7 linked regions of the Tribolium castaneum genome follow. The protein of the gene in region 4 purifies or fractionates together with the protein of the main gene of each other region. This does not show direct contact. Links are inferred from orthologs where the notes say so. Each region holds a gene or a part of one and is shown on either strand. Other genes may lie near its edges. The genes, in order: mitogen-activated protein kinase kinase kinase 7, Cdk1, uncharacterized protein LOC100142127, Cdc37, Raf, Cortactin and dnt.

Region 1 (4,162 bases), on a different chromosome or scaffold from region 4:
CCAACAAGAACGACTACTACACGCTGAGCCAACTCTTGAGCAATCAACGCGAGCCTAATGTTCCCCTTTACCATCGGCTAGTTTTGTAATAAGTTTTTAGACTAAACCCGAGCTCATATCGCGTTTTTGAATCGTTTAAAGTCTATCTGTGTTACTAGTTTATTGATGTTTATATGTTTTAACTCTCAAAAAGTCAGTCAGTATAATATTTACAATATATTTATTGAATGTTGTATTCCGTAATATTAATAAATTGTGCATAATGATCTGTTTATTTTTGTTTCAATTCGGCCTCTTTCTCCATCTCCGCCAGCTTCCGCTCGCTGATTCGCGCCCGGACCTTGCTAGACCACTGGAAGATCTTCGGGAGGGCGGTGAGCAAAGGCGGGGGTCTGTAGCCCTTGCGGAAGTAATCGGCGATCACTTCGTTACCGTGGTCCACAGCCACTTTAATGGGGCTGCGCTTACAGCTATCCACAACGTGGATTTTAGCCCCCTTTTCGACCAAAACCACCGCCAGTTCCAGAAAACCGGTCACCGCAACAAAGTGGAGACAATTGCGCCCTGAGTCGGGCTCCCTCATATTAATATTAACCCCGTTCTCCAACAAGAGCAGCACCAAATCAATCTGACGAATGCAGCGGCAATACAACACCATTTCTGCAAATTTTAATAATACTTTTTTCGTTTGGATGATCAAGTACCAAAAAAAATATGGAGTGGTCTTTGGTGCTCGACGCTCATATTGGCCCCACTTTGGAACAAGGTTTTGGCAATTAGGTAATTATTGGTGTCTAGGATGCTCAAAGAGAGGGGCGTATTGCCAAAGCAGTCAACAACATTGACCTCAGCCCCGAATTTTAGCAACTTTATCGTAATACCGTAATTCTCATTCTGTACGGATAAATGCAGGGCTGTTTTATTAAACCGGCCGTAAATATTGGGGTCGGCTCCGTGTTCCAGCAAAAGAAGGGCAAATTTTTTGCAGTCGCATAAGCAGGTAACATGCAGGGCAGTGTAACCGTGGGCGTTCCGCACATCCACGTCAAATTTTTTATACTCCAAAAGGCGGTACCCCAGGATGTAGTCGTTCCGTTCGGCGAGTAAATGCAAAGGGGTGACACCGTACTCCGTGGAGCGAATGTTCGGGTTTACTCCTTTACTCAAACACTTTGTTATCTCAGGAATGTTCCGGGAGTAAACGGCAACGAAGAATTTCTTCTCTAGGACTTTCTTGCCCACACTGCTCATCACGTCACTCTCGACTCGCTTCTTGAAGCCCTGGTGCCCCCGTTTGTGTAAATCCCGTTCGCTCGACATGATTGACACTCGCGCCGAGTTTTGAACACGGCTGGGGATTTTCGAGCCGAAGGTGACACTTGATCTGAAGGATACATAACCAAATTTATGGTGGTTGATATTTATCGAGATTTTTCGTAATTTTGGGGCTGTCTGGACGCTCTGTGGCCAAATATGTGATTACTTCGGTATTTCGATGGCGTCTTCGGAAAATGAGGGTAGCGTATGTCAGTACACCGTCGAGGAAATCAACTACAATGAAATTCAGAAGCTTGAGGTAAAGTAGCCCTGGTTGTGGCCACCGACACATTGTGGTTTCAGGCAGTCGGTGAGGGCAGCTTTGGAGTCGTTTACAAGGGAATCTGGCGCGATGCGTTCGTGGCGGTCAAAAACATCGTCTCTGAGAACGACAAAGACGCCTTTATTGTGGAAGTCCGGCAGCTGTCAAGGGTCAAGCATGAGAACATTGTCAAGCTGTACGGGGCCTGCACCAAGGGCCCCAACATCTGCCTTGTGATGGAGTACGCCGAAGGGGGCTCCCTCTTCAATATTCTACACCACGCACCTAACGTACACTACACGATGGCCAACGCCATGTCCTGGCTCTACCAGTGCGCCAAAGTAAGGGGCGAAGCCGCACCGACACACTCTTAACTCGGTTTTCCAGGGGGTCGAGTATCTCCATGGCATGAAACCCAAACCTTTGATACACAGAGACCTCAAACCGCCCAACTTGCTCCTGATAAACGGGGGCACCTTGCTAAAGATATGCGACTTTGGTACTGCCACAGACATGACAGCAATCATGACCAACAACAAAGGCTCGGCCGCGTGGATGGCCCCCGAGGTCTTTGAAACGTCAAACTATACGGAAAAGTGCGACGTCTTCAGCTGGGGCATAATCCTCTGGGAGGTGTTATCGCGACTTAAGCCTTTTTTCCACATTAAGGAGTCGGGCTACCCTTCGGCTTTCATGATCTTGTGGGCGAAGCACAGCGGCCGGAGGCCCCCTCTCATCAGGCACTGCCCCCCAGTCATCGAAAAACTGATGACACAGTGCTGGGATCAGGAGGCGGCCAAGCGGCCGAGCATGAAGGAGGTGAGTGCACTATTTTTTGAGTGGGGAAAGTCAAAGTTTGGCTTCCAGATTGTGAAAAAAATGGAAGTTATTTGCTCGTTGCTTCCGGGCGCCGACGAGCCGTTGCAGATCAGGGGCGGTGACGATGTGGTTTACAAGGAGGAAATCGAAGAGTTTGAGGACTGTGTGGAGGAAATAGACCAGTTCCCCGCCAGCACCAACGGCGATAATTGTGTCAAATCGCTGCCCCAGCCGAGTGCCGAGATGTCGCGGCCCCTCAACATTAAAATAAGCCCTGTAAGTCGGTTTTTACGTCGCATGACGTAATTGTCTTTTAATAGAAAATGAGTAAAATTGATTAATTGAGTCGTTTGTTGCAGGACGCATGGGATTTACACGATCTCGACATGCAGCTGAGAACCATGCCCGGCCTTGATAAGATGGTACCAAAAAACGGTAGGTTGTGTTGTTCTTGTGGGCTCGTTGTAAATTTAGCCGAGAGCATTGGCTTAGTGCATGACTCAACAACTTGCAATTCTTGAAAACACTCGAGGGGCTATAATTTTTATTTGTCGCAGTGTTAGTCACACACGGACCAATAAAAATAAGATCAAAGCCGAGTCGACTTGTCTGCACGGCTTCGTCGCGGTATTTTTATCGCTTTGCGACCTTAAAGTCGTGCAGGTCCGGCGCTTTAAGCTCGATTTGGCCGAAATTCCGGTTCCTCCTCCTAAATACGTGCGAAACGAAGGGGCATCTGTTTTTAGACGCGCTGACTCAGCGAGACCGATTTAGAGTAGTTTGTTTAGTTGGAAGTTTCTTGATCGGCCTGCCAGGGACGGCCTGGCCCCAATTCACCACCGGCCTCCGAAATGCGGAAAAGGCGGCTATTTGCAGGTTTTACGCGCTTTGAGGCCTTGCCTAAGGCCATTTCCGCAGAAACAATTCCAAATTTTGGCTTGGGACTACGGACGACTAAAAGTTAGGATGCGAAACGATGGACGAATAAAACGTTCTCGTCGCCAGAGAGCGCACTTATTCATGGTTGTAGGACATGGTGCAAAATTTTTGTTGTAAACTATATTTAAAAAAAATCAAACTTTTGCCCCATATTTTTCAAAAAACGTTGGGACGAAAGTTTTGGGCAGTCCGTCGCTGGCAGCGCCTTGCTCTGTCCCTGGCGTCTTCCCCGTATCGCTATTTCAGTCGCACCCATGCGGCCGTTGCCAGTTTCTTTCCAGCGGCTGGTAGTCTCGCGTAGTTTTTCGAGTGGCCCCCGAACATAAACAATCGACACGTTCCTATCGATCCTGTCCGAAATCTCATCATGTTTCGTACCGTTTGAGATTTTTCCTTGATTTTTTTCGTGCGATATGTGTGACTGTCCGAGAGCCAGCGTTTTCACCACGCATGAGAGCCACCGAAGTTGGATCATTTTCAAAGAGTGCAAGACTGATAACGGTAAATAGTAATTGTTTTGATGGATTATTTTTACGTAAAGTAGCCGGGGAAGGACTAAAATAAATTCGGCCACAATCTTCTTAGTCACGTTTTTATTTTTGAAAGGACGGATGTGTAATTAATCGAGTTTGTGATGTAATGGCATGGAAATCGCACGTCCGGAAGTGCATTCGTGGCGAACGGACACCTGGACGATGGCGGCAGACCGTAGTTGTAATTAAAAAATTTTCAACCCTTTGTGTGAATGTTTCCCGGTTCTGTTGTCACAAGCATGATGGTTTTATTGTTGCATTTTCCGACCTTTCCGACCTAATAATCGATGAC
Region 2 (2,879 bases), on a different chromosome or scaffold from region 4:
TTTTATCTACTCGAAAAAAGACATTCTTATTCCTTATACGGTAACCATCTTAACTATTGTAGCCAATCATCTTTTTTTTTTTTTCAAGGATATTGAATATTTCGCCAACTATCGAAAATCTCTGGGTATCGATGTAACAACTCTCTGTTACGAAACAAGTCCTCATGTTAAACACTACACCGAAAATAAAGAAAGTTACGTGAGTAGCGTATGCAATTTTTTAAATAAATGCCTAAATGGCACAAATTAATTCACACAAAAAACATTTCAACGCTTAATTAAACTTTAGGGTACAATTTATTTTTCTAGACGTTGTTGAATTGCACAAAATGTATTTATTTCAATTGTTTCATTAAAACTATGTTCCCAAATGATCTGCTTTATGTTGCGCCACTGTCCCGCATTTCCTTTCACTGTTACCATAGCTACATTGACGCATCACCATAGCAATATACACGTGCAGCTCGTGCATGATGTATTAAGGAGGTTTTCAAACACAAAAGATTTTTTAAACAAATATATTTAGAAAATAGTCATACTAAACACGATAAACCTAAACCTAACCGCTTATTTAAGGATCGGCTTTATTGACGTATCAACCTTTTGCAAATACGGATGTAAAGCGATTTTTTTGGCCGAAATCCTCTTGGCCGGGTCATAAATCAGCATTTGTTTCAACAAATCTATAGCGTCGCTAGTCATATTTTTTACCTGACTTTCCAAAGTACATGATTTCCAATTAGGGAACGTAACCTTATATTCAGGTAATGTGGACACCCCTGGCCAGATTTCGTCGCTTGGTGTTTTCAAAACCCTGAATCGAAAAAAAATGCAAGTTGTTTTCGTTTCTATAGTTACATGATTTGATTACCGAAAAATGCGGAAAAGTTGGTCGATTTCGGAGTCGCCTTGGAAAAGGGCTTTTTTGTTGGCCATTTCGGCGAAAATGCAGCCCAGAGACCAAATATCAATAGGGCACGAGTAACGTGCAGAGCCGAGGAGCACCTCGGGGGCGCGGTACCACAAAGTGACAACTTCGTGCGTGTAAACGCGAACCGGGACCCCAAAGGCGCGCCCTAGTCCAAAATCGGCCACTTTGATAGCCCCTTCGGAGTTGATGAGCAGATTTTGGGGCTTAAGGTCGCGATGAAGGACTCGTCTTTGGTGGCAGAAGAGAATGGCTTCGTTGATTTGGTAGAGGTAGCTTTTGACGAGTTGGGGGTCCATGTAGGAGCCCTGTGGGATGGTGTCGAGGTACTTCTTTAAGTCCATTGACAAAAATTCAAAAATTAGGTAAAGACGATTCTCTTCCATCATCACGTCTTCCAGGGAGACTATATTGGGGTGTGTGAGCTCCTTCAGGAGGGAGATTTCGCGAATGGCTGTGGAAGGCACACCTTCGTCTTCGGGTTGCAGTCGGATTTTTTTCATTGCGACTAGCTGACCCGTCTTCTTGTTTTTGCCCTTGTACACCACACCGTAAGTGCCTTCACCAATTTTTTCGATCTTGAGGAAGTCATCCATGTTGGCCCCCTGTTTCGACATTGCCCCAATATAACCAAACTTTCCACTTAAAATGACGTTTATAACGTCAAATTGCAATGCCTACACGACCACAAACACGATATTTTATTCAAAGCACACGAGTTTTGTTAATTTTTACACACTTTTAACGGCTCGTTTGAAGAAATATGGAGAAAGTTCGTTGGAGATTTTTGAACCAACCAATCGGGTACAATTATCCCCGTCTCTATCGCACTCACGTCAATCACAATAACCTGTCTTTTTTTTGGCGTAAATAGACACACATTACCAACTTCAGACACACAAAATTACTATACGATCGCCAAATAATAGCTTTGGCCAAAAAATGGGTGTTAAAATCCTTTATTATTGTTGTATAATAATTACAAAATCAAGCATTAATACGTGAATAAAATTACTGACAAAAAAAATCCATTTAACCTTTCAAACTGCTCATTCCGGCTCTCATTATTTCATCAACCAACAATAAATTGCTTGCAATCACCGAACACGAATTAATTATTTGTTTCTTCACGATGTAATTATCGAAAATTCCGGCATCTTTCGGATTAATCGGTTGTCCTGAAGCTAAATCAAGCCCAATTGGTTCCTTATTGTTACGAGATTCTTCTTGAAGTTTTACAATAGTATCCTAAGAACAACAAATAACTATAAAACAATCAATGAGAAAATCACACAAACCTGAGCATCGAAACCAGAATTCGTTGCCAAAACTTTGGGAATTACAAGAAGGGCTTCCGCGTAAGCACCAATTCCAAGACGCGATTTTCCTTTAACGGTGTCCTTGTAAGCCATCAATTCTTTGTGGGCGGTCACCTCAAAAGCCCCTGCGCCTGAAAAATATCACAAAAAACTGTTTTGTGTGCAAAATCAATTTGAATTAAGCGCTATGACATTTAGTGATTTTATTGGTACGGTTGGTAGCGAAACAATTGGCGGTGCATCAAATTTCGTGATGGCCGCTTACCGCTTAGTAAATTCGGGAAAAATCGCTGTTAAATCGGTTATTTCGTGCAAATGTTTGTGCAAAAGTGTTCAAAGACTTTCAGTGTTCCGATGTGTTGATCTAAACGGCGATTTTCAACATTGACAAGTAAGTACCGAAGTTGGGTTTTTGGTGATGGGAGTAGTTGAAGCAACTCGTAAATTCAATTTTTGAGCTCTATTTTAAACGGAAAACGCATTGTGAGTCTAATAAATTAACAATTGTGTGGCCAGGTCAGGTCATTGACCCCTATTTACAATTTCAAAGCCTAGTAACGCACATTTTTAAGACGCGTCACAAAATGACTGTGACGTCATCCATTAAGCAACTAGATATTTTGTTAATTTCG
Region 3 (4,273 bases), about 1.6 Mb from region 4:
TAGTACTTGGAGTTCGAGTTCTTTTTGGCGACGTGTTGCAGCACAAGTTGTGGCGATGTCTTTGTAGACGGCGACTGAGCGTTGGGTATCACCTCGGTCAGGATGGCATTCTTCGACATGACGTTCAAGTTCTTGAAGCATGCCCGAGTATTTATCAAGACGACGGAAGGGCTTACTGAGGAGGACTGTCAAGACAAGGACGCCCGGGCTGGTGGCGCCTCGAGATTCCATGTACTTTGTCAACTCCTCTCTAAGGACAAAAAACATTTTTTTCGAATTTAATGACTATGAGACGATATCCAGAAACAACCCATTTTATTAAATTTTTTGAGTTTATATATTTAGAATCAATCGTTACTCTTACTTGTACTGATCTAGGATGCAGGCGGCTTTGGGATGGTGGGCACAATAGGCCTGATTAACAGCCTTAATCCTGCGGGCCCATGTGAGAAAAAGGCGCCCCACTCTCTGTTCCAGGCCCGGCTTGGCCTGTTCCGCCTCCATCAGCTTCAACAACTGCTGATGCGTATCAAGGACTTCAGCGATATTCCCAGTCAACTGTTTGTACTCATCATTGGTCAATCTGCAAACAGCTGTCTTGTATTTTTACGTTCCATAAATATCGATTTCCGCTGATTATAATTACATGGCGCTTTTTTCCAGCGGTTGTAAAAAGTTCGTGACTAAACTTTCAAGTTCGGTGACGTGCGCCTTCTCCGAATCGATCAAGTCTTTCAAAACCACGCTTTTGTACTGATTTTGTTGCACAACCACCGGCTTTGGGGCATCTAAAATAAAAAATTCGCAACAATTGATTAATTTTCGCGTGTTGTAACCTTTGGATTCCTTGACGTAATTGCTGGGGAACCAGCCTGTTTTCCCGTTGAAGGTGCCTTCCCACCACCCGTCGTCCTTCTGGGTGACTGTGATCAGGTCGCCCTTCTTGAAGCACAACTAAAACCACTGTGCTCACACACCTGGACTAGGGAAAATTCTAACTTACCTCATCGTTATTCGATCCTTTGAACGGATAAATGGCCTGGACTACCAGCGGTTCAGTGGCCATCGTGGTCTCACATGTGTACCTAAATCAGTAATTGTATTTTTATGGATCACTGACGCGATTAAACGGTGCCGCAAAACTGGTCATGATGAAAAATAATTTTTGAGTACTGTCACATTCTTGGCATACACTTAGCTTTGAAGATAATTCTGGAACGCGGCCAAAAATGTAAAACGCAACGATTTTAGCCCCAATGATAGGCGACAGGACAGGAAATGCCCACACAGACACACAATTCTAACTAATAACAAATTCGAAAGTTTCGATTTTGAGCGTTATTATTACCTGTCTATAGCCCACTCTCGACTCGCACACCCGTTTTTATTGCCCCCAATAAAAATTCACAGAAGATAAATTTACAAAACCCAAAAAACCGTCTGTTTTCCTGTCAAATTCGGTCGGTAATGCAGGCGGGCGCCAGTCGGCCAACAAAAACTACCAAAATTCACTGTGCAACTGTCATCGAACAGATGGACATGTCGTAATTTCACCTCGAAGGTTTTTGTTGTGTGTTACAAGTTGTGACTTGTCTGCTGGTTATGTATGTTCAAAATCACTCGTTTGTGTAACATTTTGCCTAAATTCCGCTTAATTTTTTGTAAATTTAAGGTGTTTGTGAGTGACATTCTGGAAGATTCCGTGCAAGATGGCAAAATCTGGTATGTCAGAATCGGACGTTGACAGTGGAAATAACGGGGCCAAATCGATGGAAAACCACGAAACTAAACCCAAAACCTCCTTAAAGCTTGTAACGAAACGGCCAAGTGTCTCAACCCCCATCAGCATCCTGATCGAGAGCTTGGTCAAGAATCTGTGCACCATCTACGAAACGGACGCGGAAAAAGTCTCAAAAATGTACAATCTGATCTGCAACCGCCTGTTCCAAATGAATCTGATTGATGAAAGCTACCACATGGATGAGTTTGAAGGCATGCGGGCGGCCTACCAACAGGCCTTCCACCACTTGTTGAAAACTTCAATGGGGGGCGAAAACGCCGTGACTTTGCGCCCAGTTTGGCCAAACACTGACTTGATAAATTCGCACTATTGTCAAGAATTTGACGAGATTGAGTACATAGCTGGGGGCGGCTTTGGCCAGGTTTACCGCGTCAAACACAAACTAGACGGGACTGAATACGCAGTTAAGAAAATTCCAATCAGAGCTGAGGGGATCGAAGCCGTCCGGAACTATCTATCGGAGGTGAAAACCTTCGCTAGTGTTAACCATGCCAATATCGTACAGTACAAAGCGGCCTGGCTTGAGCTGGGGGCCCCCACTGGGGGTAATGCAATTACGGACGAAACCGAATCATATACTGAAGAAATGAAATCGCACATTGACGCCGAATACATCTATCACGAAACGCCAAGACACTCGTTTTCCGACGAGGTTAAATCAGAGGATACGTCCGATTTTGAAGTTAACTTCGAGCATAGCATTAGTAGCGTTACAAACCGGTCGAAAAACTCGCGAAAACGTGTCAAACGGAACAGTGTTTCGGAGGGCGGGAAAGCCATTTGTAAGTTGGACTTGAAGGAAATAAGGGAGTTGAAAATGCAGCAAAGGGCCAACGTGAAATGGGCCACTCTTTACATACAAATGGCCCTATGTCAATCCACTCTGAAACAGTGGCTAGAGAGGCGAAATGACGCCGAATTGTTGGTCGAAGACGCTGATAAAGCCCTACTTCCCGTCACAGGGCATGTGAGAAACGAGACGATTTACGAGGTTTTGAGGCAGTTACTTAAAGGTAACGTTGAGTAATGTGATTACAATTACAATTGTGTGAATTACAATCGTGTCTTGTCTAGGGTTGGAATATATTCATTCCAAGGGAATCGTTCATCACGATATTAAGCCGAGCAATATTTTCATTCAGATTGAAAACGGCAATTTGTTGGTACAGTTGGGTGATTTTGGTTTGGCGTGTCCTTTGCAGAATGTGAGGCATAGTTTGGCGTTTGGTACGAAACTTTACGCGGCGCCTGAACAACTTGATGGTAAATGTGATCCAAAGGTAAGGGCAAATATTGGTTTTGTTGGGGTAAACAAGGCAACAAGTGTTTAAAATAATTAATGCGTAATAGATTACGTGAGAACAAACAAAATAAAGTGTTTGCTGATTCACGGTTTTATCTTATCCTCTTAAATAAGTCTTGAAATTTTTATTGGTCAGTAAACTACGAGTATCGGGGGGCTTATTTTTATGGCGACTGTGATTTAAACAATCGTAACACTTGAAACACAGATGAACTTGATATTTTTCAAGACAGTATGGTCGAAAAATACAAAAATAAAAACTTTACCGTTAAAGATAGCCAACTGTTTGAAGGAAATTTTGATTCTTTTCACTTTCTTCATAACTTTGAGTCTTATGTTTTCTATTATCTTAAGAATGTTTGTTATTTTATTTTTCTCTTGTTCTTACGCTCTGTACTAAATTTTAAGTTTTCAATTTTTCGATTATGTTTTTTAAATAATGGCGTTTTTTAGAGTGATATGTATTCCCTGGGAATCGTCCTATTCGAGCTAGTCGAGCGGTTCCGCACCGACATGGAGCGGGTCCAGTACATTGATGACTTAAGGAAAGGCAAATTGCTGACACACGTCCACGTCCAACATCCACAATTGGCTCAAATAATTTGCCAGTTGATGGTAAAATACCCACAAGATAGACCGGACGCTAGTACGTTGCTCAAATCAATAACTCATAATTCTGACGCCGATTATGTGAGAGAATTAGAGTGTAAGCTAGCGGAACGAGACGAAGAAATTTTAAGACTCAAAGAACTACTCAAATCTGCAGGTGTTAAAAGTATCTAATTAAGGAATGGCAAATAAACTTGTTTTATAATAATAGAGGATTATTTTAAGTTTTTTGCACCATTGTCATGTGGTGAAAGACTCTGATGTTCTGGAATGAGTTAATCAGTATTTTCTTACTTAATTATGGTTAGCCAGATTGGGTTGCTTGGTGGCTAAAATGCACGTTTTACTGCCATTTTACTGTGCATTTACGAATTTTCTGAGTCGTCAATAACTAGTTTTAATTGTGTGGCGTAAGAGAGTAGAGTGATTGGAGTGTGTTTTGTACAATTTTTGAATTATTTATTGTACATTTCCATGACTGATGAACATGAAGCGTTTTCATGTATAAATCGAAAATTGTGATACGAAAATTTGAAATAAATATTTTTTAAAAAGTTGCA
Region 4 (3,253 bases):
CGTGCGTATCAGGCGAAAAAAGGCACATTTTAACTGTTATCTCCAGTTGGTTAGCGAGATCGAAAGCGGGAAATTGTCCAGTGAGAAGTTCAGTCAAGTGAAACTGCACCCAAAATCCGACGATCCCAAAGCCCTTGACTGGTTATTTGTCGTGGACACTCTGAATTTTTGCTTCTGGCACTTAGAAACCGAAGCTGGCTGGACTGTGGAGGGCTACACTGGTTATTTTGCCCTTTGTGCGGCTATTAATCGAGCCGTGAAGGAAAAAGTGGATATTTTGAACTCGAAATACTACTCTGAAGTGTCCGAAAAAGACCTTGCGAAAATATTCAGAAGCGACAACGATGTCCCAATTCCACTCCTCCAGGAACGCGTCAAATGCTTGCACGAAGTTGGGAACGTCCTTCTTGAAACTTTCGACGGTTCGTTTGAAAATTGCGTGAAAAAGGCTGACAAGAGCGCTGTGGCCCTTCTGGACCTAATCGTCAACAATTTCAAGTGCTTCAAGGACGAAGCGACTTACAAAGACAAGAAAATTGCGATTTACAAGCGGGCGCAGATTTTAATTGGCGACATTTGGGCCTGTTTCAAGAACGAAGGACTTGGGCACTTTAAAGATATCGATGAAATAACAATGTTTGCGGATTATAGAATCCCACAATCTCTCCTATATTTCGGGGTGTTTGAGTACAGCGAAGATTTGAAGAAGAAACTGCAAGACAACAAAATTCTCGAAAACGGGGAAGAGGACGAAGTGGAGATCAGAGCTTGCTCCATCCATGCGGTCGAGCTGCTAAAAGAACATGCCAATAAAAAACTAACTGATACGAAAATCAATGCCATTTTGATCGATCACTTCTTGTGGGACTTCAGACGCGAACATAACAAGGAAATCGTGGAGAAGAAGTTGCCGTTCCACAAAACGTTCTCCATTTATTACTAAATCGAACGACAATATCAAGTTAAAATTGGAGTTGACCGAATCAATGTGCTAATTTATTAGTAATTAATCGAAAATTTCAGGGAGCGGTTGGCCATGAAACTTTGATATGGCATTTTGGTGGTAGTCATGGTTACAATTGTTACAAACCGAACCGTACTTTTTCATTGCCAACTATGCTGTCATGTTTTATTTCATATCAGTAATTTTTAAGATTAATCGTGTCAATGTTTTTAAAGTTAAAGTATTAGATTATGATTGAAAGAATATTCTGGAATTTTATTTGCCCTCGTCTCCCTACCCATGATCCTCTGCCGACGTTTCGCGAAAGCCAGCCAGAGGGCGGAGGAGCAGCAAAGTGACGTTTGTTGTTTATTTCAAAAGTGCAAGTGTTTTATTGTTGTATTTTCTTGGAGGAATCAAAATTCGCATTGGCGTCATGGTCGATTACAGCAAGTGGAAGAATATTGAGGTAGTGAAGTCTGGGAGGAAAAAATGAGGTTAGGTGGTGCTTTGCAGATTTCCGACGATGAGGATGAGACGCATCCAAATATTGACACCCCTTCACTTTTCCGGTGGAGGCACCAGGCCAGAGTTGAGCGCATGGAAGAAATGAAGAAAGAAGCGGAAGAAATCCAGATAAAGAGGGAGGAAAATGCTAAGAAGGTCTCGCAAGCCAAGCAGAAGCTGGCGGAAGCCGAGAAGGCCGGAGATGCGAATTTGAGGGAACTTAAGGACGCTCTGGCCGCGCTGGAGAAGGAAATGGAAGCGATTAAGAAGAAACAGGAAGAACACGAGAAGAAAGAAAAAGTTTGTACGAATGTTAGTTCTTCTAATGTTTATTTAGTGATTTACAGATGGCCCCGTGGAATGTGGACACAATTAGTCAGCCAGGTTTTGCAAAGACTGTTATTAATAAGAAAGCTCCGAGACCGAAGGACGAACAATTAACGGATGAAGAGAAGGAAAGTCGCATGAAAAATTTTGTAAAAGAAAACGAGAAGAATTTGAAGCACTTTGGAATGTTGCGACGTTATGAAGACTCTCGGGCTTTTCTCAGGGACCACCTTGAATTGGTTTGCGAAGACACAGCTAATTACCTCGTCATCTGGTGCATCAATTTAGAAATGGAAGAGGTAAGATTGTGGCAAAAAATGTATATTGGCAACACTGAGTTGTTGGGGTAAATTATGTATTGTTCTTTTAATTAGAAACATGACCTTATGGAGCACGTGGCGCACCAGACCATCTGCATGCAGTACATCCTAGAACTAGCCAAACAATTAGACTACGACCCTCGCGGCTGCGTGGACCCCTTTTTCTCCAAAATCCAAATAGCTGATCCTCTTTACAAAAAATCGTTTGACGATGAATTAGACCAGTTTAAGGAGAGGATCAGACGACGCGCAGCTGAGAAGATTGAAGAGGCCATAAAAGAAGCAGAGGAGGAGGAGAGGAAAGCGAGGATAGGGCCAGGAGGGTTAGATCAGCTTGAAGTCTTGGAAAGTCTTCCCGAGAATTTACGAAAATGTTTCGAGACGCAAGACATCCAAATGTTGCAAGACACAATCAAGGAAATGGATGAAGAAGAGGCCAACTATCACATGAAGAGGTGTGTTGCTGCGGGTCTTTGGATACCTGATGCCAAAAAGAAGGAAGAAGAAGAAGCTGGGCCTTCTGATGAGCAGTCAAAACCCTAAAGTCACTTGCTTTACAATTTTTGTTATTTAGCCTTTATTTCCTAAGAATGCAAATTTATTGTATTAATTTATTAGGAATGCTTGAAGATTAATAAATTTCTTTACTTTATAAACTTGACGTAAACTTTCTTATACCCATCCCAATTCCCGCATTTTCTCTCACTGACTTAAATTAATCATCCACTTGAAAAAAATAATAGCCAAACGAATTTACAGTTTCAGTGGCAGATATAACAATCAACGTTATTTAAAAAAAATATTTGGTAAAACCCGTTCTTTTGAAAAAGCGTAGTTACTTTTGTTCACCGATGTTGGTGTATTTTCGCGTTTCCCATATTTCGTGTTCTGACGCATCACTTGACGTGTCGCAACAACAAGACACGACAACACCACATAAAAAATTGAAAATTTAACCAGTCAGTTAAGATTATGGCCCCAAAAGAAAGCAAAGAAAAGGATGATAAGGTACAGTTTAAATGAATGAACACGTAATTTGCACGCTTGTTATTTAAATACGGAAAAAATTGTAAATTTGGCTTCATAACCTATTGTTGCAGCCTGTTAAAATAAATAAATGGGACGGTTCAGCTGTGAAAAATGCCATAGACGATGC
Region 5 (4,300 bases), on a different chromosome or scaffold from region 4:
AAATAATGTTCAACTTATAAAATTGGTTTTTATTTTTTATCACGTATGCTTTGAAAAAATTTAAAAAAGAAATAGTGCGTTGTATTGCTTGCGAAAAAGGCTTTCATACGAGGTGTCACTTGGCATACCATTAACATTTGAACAAGAAGTTAGAGGTGGCTGTGCATTTCTGACAGCAGATAAACAAAAACCATATGCATCAAATAGTAGGCAAGGAAACATAAAAATTGACCTGCTTCGGGAATTTTTACCAAAATCGCCTTAAATCAAAGTTATGATTTATATTCCAGCTGTATATTTTGCTTTAAGTAATCGTCTTTTACAAGATTGCAATGGAAGTTTTTCAACACTAGCTTAAATATCCTTATTAACTTTTAAAAGTTGTTATTATTAACGCACTATAAGTGAAGCGCATAAATCTGGCGAATCAAGAAATTAGTTTGTTTTATTAAAAACGGTAAACAGCTGGATTGAAAAGGCATAAGATTCATCGTAGCCGTGTTTATTTGAGCATGAATAAAGCCAGAGCGCATAGGTGTCGGTTGACTAATTACTGCAAATTGCTGTGAATTCAACGATCCAGTTTGTTTACGAACATTCGCAAAATGATTAAAATAACGTCGCGAGAAAATACTTCTCGTATTGCAAAAGGTAACGACGACAAATAATAATCGCAAATCTACTGTTGTTTTAGTAATTTGTATGACATTTTCAAAAATACGTAACATACTTAGTTGAATGTTCTAGTTGCACATGTTGATGGAAAAAATATCAAACTGAAAGCTGTATTAATTTGATTCATTAAAATGTTCCTAATTAGCAGCACGAGTTTATAAATCTGAGTTAAATTTACTCTAGATTGTTATGTAGCTATGCAGTATTGACATAAAAAGTGTCTTTATTTCATTTCTGCATTTTAATGTGCAAAAATTCAAAAAACTGAAAGCTGTATTAATTTGATTCATTAAAATTTTCCTAATTGGCAGCACGAGATTATAAATCCGAGTTAAATTTACTCTAGATTGGTATGTAGCTATGCAATATGAAAATAAAAAAGTGTGTTTACTTCATTTTAATGTGACAGAAAAAAAAAGAAAACACGGTAAAAAAAATTGGAAAAGTTGAAACAAAATAAAACACTTTCGTGACATGAAATTCTTTGGGAAATTTCATTGGTTATTTCTATTCTTCCTACTGGACTTTTCTTTGTATTTTCTTGTAATTCATCCTTGTTTTTTCTCTCTCTCTCTTCAGTCAGGCATATTTGAAAATATACAGCGTGCTCAAAAACTGGCGCACCAACTCAATGGTGTGTGGTAGATAAGTGGTTACATATAAAGGTAAAAGTAGTAAAAAAATTCTTTGTATTAAAGTTATTGATAAATAACTAATTTTAGGTAAATGATATGTGGCAACGTTGTCTAACAGTCATGATCGCAATAAAAATAAATTATTTTTGAAACGGTTTCCTAGGAAATAATTCCCAGTGTTGGCACATCTACAGATTGTGATTTTTTGGATGAAATTTAATTTTTTTAAATTAAAAAAACTGCTAAAATCTTATAGTAAATTTTAAAATAATTATTCATCGTTTTGTTACGGAACGATTACCTGGTGTGAAACATAAAAACATAAAAAAATAATGAAAACTAAAGAAGTTAACACAATAAGTTTGTAGCTCCAGATTTTTTAAAATATAACTTTAGCAATTTTTTCAACATTTTTCCCGTAATCTGCACTTGCTTCTCAATAACGTACCACTGAGTTGGTGCGCCAGTTTTTGAGCACCCTGTATTAATAAATCTAAGTTAAACAATAATAAATTACGCATTTTCTTTATTTTTTATAAAATAAATTCAAAGTTAATATCGGCATCAATTTAGATATCAATCGGTGGTGATAAAGCCATGGAATGTTTCAAATACATGAAAATCATGCAATAAACTTTAGATAAGAAAATGCATTGTGTTTTATTGTTTTCCAAAATGTTCCAAATGTTACATTTGGATTTGTATGACGAGAATATTCGCATTTTTTGGAGATTCTTCTCAATACAATTTTTGTTTGTTTTAACTTCTAGTGTTTTCTTTTTACTTTACGTCTTTGGAAGTTTGAATTTCTCTTTAATTTTTTTGAAAAATTGTTCGCTTTTTCGGAATTCGTCCTTTACAAAATCCCTGACTAGGTTTTTGTAATTTTTTTGAATTTGGCTTAATTTAGAAGTTTTTTCCTACGCAATTAAACAATGTGGAGTTATTTTTGAAAGTGTCGTAACATTCACTATTTGAATCTCGCAAAATTCCTGATTCTCCCTGGACTTTTTTTGTTTTGGAAATATTTATCGGAAGTTGGATGATTGCCGAATTTACTAAATAAACGTGGACTAGTCTGTGGCATTATCCAAAGTAAAATAAAGAAATGGAATGCAAAATTTTGCTTTTCGGAATGATTTGCTGCATTTTCTCCCATCCCTTGCGTTTTGACGTCGAACCAAAAATATCTCGCTTCCCCAGGTTCGTATGACGGACGCCTACTACCGGGCGCTCCTCGCCCGCTCTCCGGACTTCAGCGCGGGCATCCTGCACCCAGGTCAGGCCGGCCTGGGGCTCTCCCGCCAGCCGCGCCACCCTGGCACCCTCGGCCACCACGACCGCTCCAGCTCCGCCCCCAACGTCTGCCTCAACAACGTGAAGGGCCCCGGCGACGACTGCCCCAAGTCCCTCAGTCTGACCCGGGGCGGCATCGACGACGGCCTCCCCCACTACCACAGCACCCAGGCCTCGCCCACCGGCTCCCTCCAGCCGCGCCGACCCCGTGCTCGCTCCGCCGACGAGAGCAAGCCCCTCCTCGCCCCTCGCGAGAGCATCGAGGATTGGGAGATCCCCGCCGACGAGATCCTCGTCGGCCATCGGGTCGGCTCGGGCTCCTTCGGCACGGTCTACAAGGCCCATTGGCACGGCCCGGTCGCTGTCAAGACGCTCAACGTTAAAATACCAACGTTGGCACAACTGCAAGCCTTCAAGAACGAGGTGGCAGTACTGCGCAAAACGCGACACGTGAACATTTTATTGTTCATGGGGTGTGTTAGTAAGCCGCAGTTGGCGATCGTGACGCAATGGTGCGAGAGTTCGAGCTTGTACAAGCATCTCCACGTGCACGAGACGAAATTCGCGCTTTTTACTTTGATCGAAATCGGGAGACAAACGGCACAAGGAATGGACTACCTCCATGCGAAAAATATCATCCATCGAGATCTCAAATCGAATAATATTTTCCTACACGATGACCTAACCGTCAAAATCGGCGATTTCGGCTTAGCCACGGCCAAGATCCGTTGGTCGGGCTCCAAGCAGTTCCACCAGCCGACGGGGAGCATCCTCTGGATGGCGCCAGAAGTGATCCGGATGCAGGAGGACAACCCGTACAGCTTCCAGTCGGACGTTTACGCGTTCGGGATCGTTATGTTCGAGATGTTGGCAATGCAATTGCCCTACTCCCACATCAACAACAAGGACCAAATCCTGTTCATGGTGGGGAGGGGGTACCTCAAACCAGACATGAGTAAACTACGCTCCGACACACCCAAAGCTTTAAGACGACTCACTGAAGACTGTATCAAGTTCAATCGGGACGAGAGACCGCTTTTCAGGCAGATTCATGCCTCGTTGGAGGGACTTTTGAGGAGTCATCCGAAAATTAACAGATCGGCGTCCGAACCGAACATGAATCGGACGCAGATCCAGTCTGATGATTTTATTTATCCGTGTGCTAGTCCGAAAACACCGGTGGCGTTCGGACCGTCGAGTTTTTTTTATTCGGGAGGAACGGGTAATATCTGAGGGGAGGGCGCCAAGAGGGACGTTTAGGACGAGTGAGAGTGCGTGATACGGCTTGAGTAGAGGTTATCATTAAGTTATTGTCAAGTATTTAAATTTAAATATTGTTTTGTTTTCGTATTAAATAAATTCTTAAAAAAATATACTGCGTTTACTTATTTCCATCCCATCCTACGAAATTCGAAGATTCTGAAAATCTATCTTTGCTTTCCAAATTCAGTGTTCCAACCTTTGACTGGACTGAAAAGTCAAGACTTTGGAAACTTTTTGTTGAAATCCGAAAAAAAACTGATAAAATTTTCGATTCAATTTTATTTCGTATTCCTGGTTTTGGACCAGGGTACAGAATTTAAGTTTCAAATTAAATAAGTTCATAAAACTGTAGTGATTGTTTTTTCTTATTTGGATTATTTCCTGTCTCCCCATTAAAAACATGTTGAATAATGTTTGTCGCAACAGTAAAT
Region 6 (4,299 bases), on a different chromosome or scaffold from region 4:
AGCGAGCTGACGGTGCGCACACGAAACACATCGGTAATTTTTTCTTCAACATTCCGACCGATTTTTTCACAAAGTGATTTTTTGGCAATGTTTATGAAATCCTCGCCTTTGGCAAAGCAATAAACTACGACAACTGGGTGTTTCCCAAATTCTGGTAACTCATCATTTGAGAATAAATCAACAAAAGTTGTTAAAAAATCAACGGCCAGTGCCGGAAGATTCATCAGAATAAAAACATTTTTGGCCGAAAATTTCGGCAACAACTCCTTAACCTCGCCCAAGATAAACTCCCGCCCGTCCTTATTATAACTCTTAAAGTAATTTTCCCCAACTTTGTTTATTTTAAAGTTGTGATTTAGCCATTTAAAGGACTCGGGATTGAGATCATTGGCAAAAACCTGGCACTTTTTCCTAGCCAAAGGCACGGAAAACGGCCCAACCCCCGCGAAAACATCAAACACAACATCACCACTCTCTATCATATTGACAATTCTTTCGTGTTCAGTGCAGAGTCTAGAATTCCAGTACACTTTCGCAAAATCAAACTCAAACACACATTTATTTTCCCTAACGTGCGTTTGCGTGTCGTTTTCGCCCCTTAAAACCTCCATCTGGAAATTCCGATACGTGTTATCAATACTCCCCACTTTATTGACCACAGTCCGACAATTGGGCACTTTATCAAACAACACTTGCCCAATTATGTCTTTAAACGGAACGAGGTGTTCGCGCAGGTTAACGTGCACAATGTGCCCCACTTTAGTAAAACTCGACATCCCCTCGACATTCGGGGGAAGCACGGCGCGAAAAACGCCCTCAATCGAAAAATTCTCGTAGTTTAAAGTCAACGGCTTTAATTCGAGTTGCACGCACAGGTCGTTTAGCAATTTTTGCGTTTCTGGCGGCAAGTCACTAAAAGCCCCTATTATTTCCGGGTTGAAGTAAACGTGGGATTCCCCCGTGGTTACGTTACAAACCGGCTTAAAATTCTCAATTTTTAACAAGTAATTTTTCACGAATGGCAAGACTGATGAGATTTTCACGTTCTTAAGGATGAGACACGGGACGGTTATGTTTTTCTTGAACAAATTCTTGTCCAAAGTTGTTAACCCAGCTACTTGAGCTGGTGGTTTGAGGTTAGGGACAGTTGTCATGCTTTTGGAGCCACGAAAGTCGATTAAAGTGGATTTAACGAAGGGATTGTGGCCCTAATTACGCGAAAGTAGCACCAGTTGTGGGAATCGCAGGCGTTTAGAGGGGACGGTTTTGTGGAACATTTAAATCAAACGCACGTTTTTGGAGGTTACTTACGTTTTGACAAGTGGAGTAGGTCAATTGACCCGATTTTTTAACCAACCGTTTGAATTATTATCATTGAAAAAAAGCAAATTGTTGTGTACTGTTACAAACAACCGAATGATACATTTTTTAGGGAAATGAAGTGGTTCCAGTGCCTATATAATTATTGATTAATTGATAAAATTAGTTTGGTAGTTTGAAAGTGTCGTAAATTTCGGTTAAACGTCCCGAAGTTGTCTGTGTCACTGGGGGCCGGGTGTTGCCTTTGTTGATAACAGTTATCACAAAATTGCCACAATTCTAATTACTTAGTTTTTTCGTTCCGTTTGTGTTGCCTAATTGGTGTTTTTTTTGAAAACTTAACCTAAAAAATGTGGAAAGCGGCGGCAGGTCAGCAAATTAATTTAAACGACCAGCCCACCGAGGATGACGAGTGGGAGACAGACCCGGATTTCGTCAATGACGTGAATGAGCAGGAGCAGCGATGGGGCTCTGCCACCATTGCGGGGTCTGGGAGGACAGCTGGGGCTATAGAGTAATGGGGTTTTTGGTTTTGGTTCGCTTGTCTCATGTGTTTGCCTTAGTATGAGTCAGTTGAGGAAGGAGACGGAGGAGGCGGACGCGCTGAAGAAGAAGAAACAGTTGGAGGAAGGGGCCAGTAATCCCGCTTTTGGGTACGGGGGCAAGTTCGGGATTGAGAAAGACAGGATGGATCAGTCGGCCGTGGGGCATGAGTATGTCGCGAAAGTCGAGAAACATGCCTCACAGAAGGACTACAGTGCGGGCTTTGGGGGCAAGTTCGGGATACAGGCCGATAGGGTAGATAAGGTTAGTCTGATTGGTTTTTATTTGTCAAGTTTAGTCACAAATGTACAAGTAGCAATATTTTTTTGCTTTTCACACGCTGATAAGGACAATCGTGCTCTTATCTCAAATTACGAAAACAATCTTACGCTGAATTATGATCATGATCACAGTTTAATTATTCAATTAATTCAATTATTGAATTATTTGTTTACAATTGTTTCGTATTTATTTTGTCGCGTTATTATTATTATTAGTTATTTAAAATTTTAAGAAAAATGCTATAAGGTCAAGCATTGTTATCGAGAACGAGCATTTAAACAACTAGATTTTTTACAAATAAATAAATAAATAAATATAAAGAAAATGCAACGTTTTGAAACAGCTTGTAGTAATGATTGCGAAATTTAAGGCCAGCCTACGGATATCTAAAACTAAGGATGAAACGACGTACAAATAAAAAGTCCCGTCCTCTATAGTTCCGTTAATGTCGCCAGAGGCGCACTTGTTCCATTACCGTCTGTTTTCAGAGCAATCAATTTATAAAAATTGTTGTAATTAAATAACGGTTAGCACAAGTTGAATAAAAAAAATACAGGCAGATAGAGCATCAAATTCTCAATAATCGGAGATGAAAATAGTGCAAAAATTATATCTTAAACTATATTTAAAAAAATTTCAAAGTTTTACCAATTTGCACTCTGCCCCATATTTTTCAAAACGCTGCGAATACGGTTACAGATACAAGAAAAATGTTCAGAGGAAAGTTGTAGAGAATTAAATTTCCTTTAAAAAAGTCCGCGAGACCATATCCTTATCTTCAACCATTTAGGCCCCAAAGTCATTCAAAGACGCTCAAGTGTCGGATTTCCTCCATTTTGCCGGTGGTCAAGTATTGGAAAATTAATTTATACCTAAACCGTTGAAGATAGACATATCGTGTCGCGGACTTTTTTGTAGAGAATTTAATTCTCTACAACCTCGCCTCTTTCACTTTTTTGTATCTTCAACCGTATTCGCTGCGTTTGCCAAAAAAAACGCAATAATTCTAAGCGATAATTTTTTGGGCACCGTCGCCTATTTATTAAAACGCTGCGAATACGGTTGAAGATACAACAAAAGTGTAAGGAACAAAGTTGTAGAGAATTAAATTTGCTACAAAAAAGTCCGTGACACCATATTTCTATCTTCACCGGTTTGGGTATAAATTCACTTTTCCATACTTGACCACCAGCAAAATCAGTCGCTTAAGCATCTTTGAACGTTTTTAGGGCCTAAACCGTTGAAGATAAAGATATGGTCTCGCTGACTTTTTTTCAGGAAATTTAATTCTCTACAAATTTGTTCTAAACATTTTTCTTGTATCTTTAACCGTATTCGCAGCGTTTTGAAAAATACGGAAAGTCACAAAAAAAGGTAAAAACACCCGGTATCCAGATAAAATCTGGTGAAAAATTTGAAAATTAAATTGAAAAAAAGTGGAAGAAAATGTTTTCTCAAAGCTAATTCGCCGACTTTTGAACTGAATGTATTTGCGTTTTACGTGAATTATTGCAATTATATAGTTTGTAATGTTGATTTATTTAAAAAGTTTGTGTTAAAATATCTACAAAACACGGTCAGTACCTGGGGCCCGGTGGCCCAGTGGTATAAGCGCCACTTACGACGGTGGAGGTCGCGGGTTCGAACCCGGATCACGGCAACAATTTTTCTATGAAAAAAAAGTGTAGAAAAGGTAAGGAAACAAAACGTGAGCAAAAATAAGAGATTGAGAGAACACATGGACGTATAAACGTAAAGCGGAGCAAAAAACTGACAGAAATAAGAAAATAATGCGGCAAAAGGCATGACGTACAGCACGGTGATTTGAAAATGTCATGCCAATAAACCCCGGCTGAGGGATCGGTAGGTACTTAGACCGCAACCATCTGTGGCAATAAATCATTTCGTCGTGAACTTCCAAACACGAAATAATTTTACTTTTCAACTGCTTAAAATTTGATTTGACTTTATAATGATTTTAGTAATTGAAGTCACCGCTATTTTTAATTCCAATTTCAATTGCCATTTAATTCGCATTGTGAAACAAAATTAATTTTGAATTTTAAATTTGATTGCCTCTAAAGGCATATTTGAGAATAGTGCAAATAAATTATAAATTAATTAATTACAATCAAACATCTGATTAACTGATCA
Region 7 (4,231 bases), on a different chromosome or scaffold from region 4:
AACTGTACATACGTGCCCAGAGCAGGTGTGTGGGTAGGTACAGAGTACCTGTGTACTTCTTGTTTACATTAGAAAATGATGCCCGCGTCCGTTGCGTATACGAAGGTTCAGAAGGCCAACCTAGGACATTGACTTTTTGCAGTTTTAAGTAACGTTAAGGTACTCCCTATTACGCGTCCCAAATTCGAAATAAACGCCACCAATTGCCATGTGCAAAAACCATCAATGAAATACTCCCTTGTCAAATTTTTACTAGTCTGTTCATGATCACACGTTTCATGCCAGATTTTTTAATGATTGAGGTGATACTATAGGTTCGAGGAACGCAATGGGTTGAGTCAAATAGCGGTTTATAGCAAAGTTATATAAACCAGAGGTAAAAGCACCACGGTGTAAAACATTGTAGACATGAAGACAGTACACATTATTTTATTCGTTTGCTTCGTTGCGGCCGCAAGAGCCCAAATTCCCAATTTGGGCTTCTGTCCAGACTACCTCCCAATGCCAGATTTCGACATAGAGAGGTTTCTAGGAAAATGGTACGAAGCCGAACGATATTTCCAATTTTCCGAAGTCGCCACCCGATGTGTCGTCACAGATTATGCAAAAGCACCCAGTGGACGAATCTACGTCTCCAACGAAGTCACCAACAGATTGTGAGTATTTTCCCCAAATACCAAAAAATAATAACAACTTGCAGAACGGGCGTAAAGCGCGTCATTGACGGAAGCCTAGAACTCAGCGGTAAAGCAGGGGAGGGAAAACTAAACGTCAAGTACTCAACAACCCCCATCGCGAGCGAAACCGCCCTCACAGTTCTAGACACAGATTACGACTCTTACGCCGTTATTTGGAGCTGTAGCGGCTTTGGCCCTATTCATGCCCGTAAGTCCGACTCAGCCAAAATCTTTATAATTACTAACAAAAATGGCTTCAGAAAGCGCTTGGGTCATGACTCGGGAGCGGCTCCCTTCAGGCGTTGTCCTGCAACAAGCCTACGGAGTCCTAGACAAATTCAAAATCAGCAGAACTTTCTTCGTTAAAACCGACCAAGAAGGTTGCGCTATCGCAGCGTCTGACATTAATGCCGCTAATGGCATTACCGCAACCTCCACAATCGCCGAAGCCACAGGTTCCGAACAGAAAAACGCAAATAAGCCCGAAGAAGAAAATCAGCCAGTGGAGGTCCAAAACTAAACTTAAAACCAATATTTATGTTAATATTTATGATAATTTTTATATTTTAAATAAATTAATCAAACCCTACTAGTTTGTTTCATTTCAAATGGTAAAATAGCGCCAAATTGGGAAAACGGCGCACGCAGGCCGCAGTTTATTGATTGTAATACACCTAAAACGCGTGCGCTTTGAAGTTAACGTTTTGGCGGCGATTTAAAAGCGCTACAATCAAATATTGTAATTAATTTTATTCGCCACTGCGTATTATTAGGGCAAAAACTATAAAAGTGTCAGAGGTAACTGTTAAATTTAAACACAGCACAGTTGAGTTATTTCCGTGCTTCGGTTACATTCGTGCTGTGGACAAAAGAGTCGTTTCGTTTCGGTGGAAGAAATAAGAGATTCGTTGAATGTGGTGAGTGGTCGGAATGTGGCTGCTGCGAACACAGACCGAAGACTCGAAGAGGGCAAGCAGTGTGGGCGTTGTTTTGGCTAAAAATGAAAGAATCATTAATTAAACTGACTGCAGTGTGATGTGCAATGTGAACTGTCCACAACCTTTCGAAAAGATCGATCTCACTCGTTTATTTACAAAATGTGACTGAGAGTAATACTATCAATATGAATCAAAATTTCTTGTCCGGGTTTATTATTTTATTGACGTCGCAATTGGTTTTTGGCTATTTAAACTTGTACCTTAGCTTAGCCGAGGTTCAAAGACTCTTAGGTAAGTTAGCTAGGTCTTATCTTCTTGCATGTTTACACAAACAATTTGTTTAGGGCTGGAAGCGGAGCTCTATTATGTTAGAGATGGCAACATAAACAACTATGCGTTAAATTTCGTAATGCCGGTGCCGTCCAGTTTAAATTCCTTGCATTTCACTTGGGAAAGTCTGGCGGATCGACCAGTACGTATGTTTGTGGCTATCTTTGGTCATTAGTTTGATTCGTTTCCAGCTATTGTACACGATAAAGGTTGACACTTCCGACTCCCAAATATTGCTTCCGCCTCAGTTGAATATCACATCTAGAGGTTCCGTTCCCACTACACTCCAGACTTTTAGCCTGTCCCTGCTATGTTCAGGGGCGGCAACGGGGGAAGTAAATGTCACCATAACAATTAGCGTTACTATAACACCTTCGAACGTAACAACACTCATGTTCAGAAGGAAGAAAATATGTACGAAGTTTGAAATGCAAACGAACCACGTCTTGGTCCACACAGTGCCAACATATTCGAACTCAACGAGTATTTTTTACACGGCTATTGTCTCGGCTTTAATTCTGATAATTATTCTTGCTTCGGTGACTGCAGCGTATTATGTGAAAAATAAAAAAACGAGAGACACCACTAGTGCTAGTACCGGGCCCACGACGACTTTCCTCACCACAGGCCCACGAAATACCGTTAACACGTCCTATAGCAGCTTCCGGCGAATGCCTAGCTACTCGCTCATTGATGAACGATCCAAGGATTTGCAGGAAAGGATAACGGAATTGACTGTGCAAAGGTAACCGGTCACAAATCATTAACTCGTCCAAACAATGTTTTGTAGATGCAGAGTCCGCCTAAGCAATGTAATAATGGAAGGGACTTTTGCCCGGGTGTACCAAGGATCATACACCAACGAAGAGGGGGTTGATGAGCCCGTGATAGTTAAGACAGTGACCGACCACGCCAGCCAGATCCAGATATCACTCTTGCTCCAAGAGGGAATGTCGATGTATTCACTTAACCATAAGAACATCCTTAGCATACTCAGGGTGTCGATTGAGGACCACACAGCACCGTTTTTGCTTTATGCTTACAATAACTACAGCAACTTGAAGATATTCCTCCAGAAATGCAAACTATCGCCGGAGGGAGTCTCCCACACTCTGACCACTCAAGAAGTGGTGGACATGGCGTTACAAATAATCCAAGCAATGCAGTATCTGCACAAGAAAAATCTCCTGCACAAAGATTTAGCCACGCGGAACTGCATGTGAGTATCATCACACCGCCCAAGCTTTTGTTTTCATTCGTTGTTTGTAGTGTTGACGATAAACTCAACGTACAAGTGGCCGACAATGCCCTGTCCAGAGACCTGTTCCCGTCTGATTATCACTGTCTGGGCGATAACGAAAATCGCCCGATTAAGTGGATGGCGATTGAAAGCCTGGTCCATAAGACATTTTCGTTCAGTTCCGACGTCTGGTCGTTTGGGGTGCTTTTATGGGAGTTAACAACACTTGCCCAACAGCCATACGTCGAGATCGACCCTTTCGAGATCGTAGCCTACCTCAAAGACGGGTACAGACTAGCACAACCGATAAATTGCCCCGATGAACTGTAAGTATGGCCACTTTTTGGGGCAAGTTTTACGTTTTACGTAGGTTTGCAGTCATGGCGTACTGCTGGGCAATGAGTGCAGAAGAGCGCCCAACCTTCACGCAGCTGCATATATGTCTGCAAGACTTCTACACACAGTTAACCAGATACGTGTAGATGGTGCCAATTGGTGTGAATTTACGTGATGTACCCTAATCGATATAAATGTATATAAGAGATGTGTACCTTGTGAAAAATATATGACTGGATTTTTGTATTATTAAATATAATCTCTTTTCGTAAATGGAAAGTTTTATTCGTGGAATTGTTCCCACCCTCAGGCACGACTAGCCTGATTTGTTTCTGATGAGTTTACGGTTACTTTGGCCAATTCGCAGCAAGATCAGATGGGACATAGTTTTATGTAATTATAACACTCACGGTAAAATAAAGGAAACTAATTATGCAATTATAAATCAAGAAACACTTTTTTTTTCACCTTGAGACTGGATGAAGGAGACCAACATCTCAACATTATTAAATTCTTGACTATTTACTCTGAATTGTCACGACAAATGTCTTCACGCAATTTGTAGTTTCAGTCTTCTTGAAGAAACAAAGTGATTCACATGTGCAGTAATGGATTGCAAGGTGTTGTTATGGCTGGTACAAATTTACGTCCAAGTAAACGTGTGTAAGTGACACTGTTTCCTTAATTGCTTATAATCGAGTTTCCGTTCG

The links.
Region 1: the proteins of Cdc37 (region 4) and mitogen-activated protein kinase kinase kinase 7 purify together in Homo sapiens (affinity purification with mass spectrometry; 6 studies listed by BioGRID and IntAct, with this or other methods). This does not show direct contact. The link is inferred for Tribolium castaneum from reciprocal best matches to the Homo sapiens genes CDC37 and MAP3K7.
Region 2: the proteins of Cdc37 (region 4) and Cdk1 purify together in Homo sapiens (affinity purification with western blotting; 3 studies listed by BioGRID and IntAct, with this or other methods). This does not show direct contact. The link is inferred for Tribolium castaneum from reciprocal best matches to the Homo sapiens genes CDC37 and CDK1.
Region 3: the proteins of Cdc37 (region 4) and uncharacterized protein LOC100142127 purify together in Homo sapiens (affinity purification with mass spectrometry; 3 studies listed by BioGRID and IntAct, with this or other methods). This does not show direct contact. The link is inferred for Tribolium castaneum from reciprocal best matches to the Homo sapiens genes CDC37 and EIF2AK1.
Region 5: the proteins of Cdc37 (region 4) and Raf purify together in Homo sapiens (affinity purification with mass spectrometry; 5 studies listed by BioGRID and IntAct, with this or other methods). This does not show direct contact. The link is inferred for Tribolium castaneum from reciprocal best matches to the Homo sapiens genes CDC37 and BRAF.
Region 6: the proteins of Cdc37 (region 4) and Cortactin purify together in Homo sapiens (affinity purification with mass spectrometry; 3 studies listed by BioGRID and IntAct, with this or other methods). This does not show direct contact. The link is inferred for Tribolium castaneum from reciprocal best matches to the Homo sapiens genes CDC37 and CTTN.
Region 7: the proteins of Cdc37 (region 4) and dnt purify together in Homo sapiens (affinity purification with mass spectrometry; 3 studies listed by BioGRID and IntAct, with this or other methods). This does not show direct contact. The link is inferred for Tribolium castaneum from reciprocal best matches to the Homo sapiens genes CDC37 and RYK.

What each region holds. Positions count from the first base shown.
Region 1 is NC_087399.1:3,650,872-3,655,033, forward strand, and holds the start of mitogen-activated protein kinase kinase kinase 7, read left to right. Parts: upstream 1-1,362; 5' UTR 1,363-1,495; coding exon 1,496-1,576; intron 1,577-1,620; coding exon 1,621-1,920; intron 1,921-1,966; coding exon 1,967-2,398; intron 2,399-2,446; coding exon 2,447-2,674; intron 2,675-2,757; coding exon 2,758-2,833; intron 2,834-4,162. Other genes in the region: prohormone-2, read left to right, coding at 1-89; putative ankyrin repeat protein RF_0381, read right to left, coding at 272-660, 705-1,320. UniProt on the Homo sapiens protein: Serine/threonine kinase which acts as an essential component of the MAP kinase signal transduction pathway. Plays an important role in the cascades of cellular responses evoked by changes in the environment.
Region 2 is NC_087401.1:17,534,739-17,537,617, forward strand, and holds Cdk1 (cyclin-dependent kinase 1), read right to left. Parts: upstream 1,754-2,879; 5' UTR 1,546-1,753; coding exon 872-1,545; intron 815-871; coding exon 568-814; 3' UTR 501-567; downstream 1-500. Other genes in the region: transmembrane protein 53, read left to right, coding at 1-40, 89-250; CCT6 (T-complex protein 1 subunit zeta), read right to left, coding at 1,961-2,176, 2,227-2,378. UniProt on the Homo sapiens protein: Plays a key role in the control of the eukaryotic cell cycle by modulating the centrosome cycle as well as mitotic onset; promotes G2-M transition via association with multiple interphase cyclins.
Region 3 is NC_087398.1:655,671-659,943, forward strand, and holds uncharacterized protein LOC100142127, read left to right. Parts: upstream 1-1,473; 5' UTR 1,474-1,604; intron 1,605-1,672; 5' UTR 1,673-1,709; coding exon 1,710-2,814; intron 2,815-2,875; coding exon 2,876-3,081; intron 3,082-3,557; coding exon 3,558-3,887; 3' UTR 3,888-4,270; downstream 4,271-4,273. Other genes in the region: RtGEF (rho guanine nucleotide exchange factor 7), read right to left, coding at 1-250, 365-583, 647-954, 1,004-1,066. UniProt on the Homo sapiens protein: Metabolic-stress sensing protein kinase that phosphorylates the alpha subunit of eukaryotic translation initiation factor 2 (EIF2S1/eIF-2-alpha) in response to various stress conditions.
Region 4 is NC_087398.1:2,272,961-2,276,213, forward strand, and holds Cdc37 (hsp90 co-chaperone Cdc37), read left to right. Parts: upstream 1-1,252; 5' UTR 1,253-1,379; coding exon 1,380-1,412; intron 1,413-1,459; coding exon 1,460-1,750; intron 1,751-1,797; coding exon 1,798-2,076; intron 2,077-2,151; coding exon 2,152-2,640; 3' UTR 2,641-2,753; downstream 2,754-3,253. Other genes in the region: queuosine 5'-phosphate N-glycosylase/hydrolase, read left to right, coding at 47-943; Spase25 (signal peptidase complex subunit 2), read left to right, coding at 3,070-3,105, 3,198-3,253. UniProt on the Homo sapiens protein: Co-chaperone that binds to numerous kinases and promotes their interaction with the Hsp90 complex, resulting in stabilization and promotion of their activity. Inhibits HSP90AA1 ATPase activity.
Region 5 is NC_087400.1:7,671,134-7,675,433, forward strand, and holds the end of Raf (raf homolog serine/threonine-protein kinase Raf), read left to right. Parts: intron 1-2,513; coding exon 2,514-3,839; 3' UTR 3,840-3,979; downstream 3,980-4,300. UniProt on the Homo sapiens protein: Protein kinase involved in the transduction of mitogenic signals from the cell membrane to the nucleus. Phosphorylates MAP2K1, and thereby activates the MAP kinase signal transduction pathway. Phosphorylates PFKFB2.
Region 6 is NC_087400.1:1,549,369-1,553,667, reverse strand, and holds the start of Cortactin (src substrate cortactin), read left to right. Parts: upstream 1-1,499; 5' UTR 1,500-1,670; coding exon 1,671-1,834; intron 1,835-1,883; coding exon 1,884-2,127; intron 2,128-4,299. Other genes in the region: tRNA (guanine(37)-N1)-methyltransferase, read right to left, coding at 1-1,154.
Region 7 is NC_087403.1:6,651,320-6,655,550, forward strand, and holds the start of dnt (tyrosine-protein kinase Drl), read left to right. Parts: upstream 1-1,431; 5' UTR 1,432-1,800; coding exon 1,801-1,906; intron 1,907-1,959; coding exon 1,960-2,087; intron 2,088-2,136; coding exon 2,137-2,690; intron 2,691-2,735; coding exon 2,736-3,164; intron 3,165-3,214; coding exon 3,215-3,511; intron 3,512-3,555; coding exon 3,556-3,667; 3' UTR 3,668-4,184; intron 4,185-4,231. Other genes in the region: apolipoprotein D, read left to right, coding at 409-656, 701-885, 938-1,197. UniProt on the Homo sapiens protein: May be a coreceptor along with FZD8 of Wnt proteins, such as WNT1, WNT3, WNT3A and WNT5A. Involved in neuron differentiation, axon guidance, corpus callosum establishment and neurite outgrowth.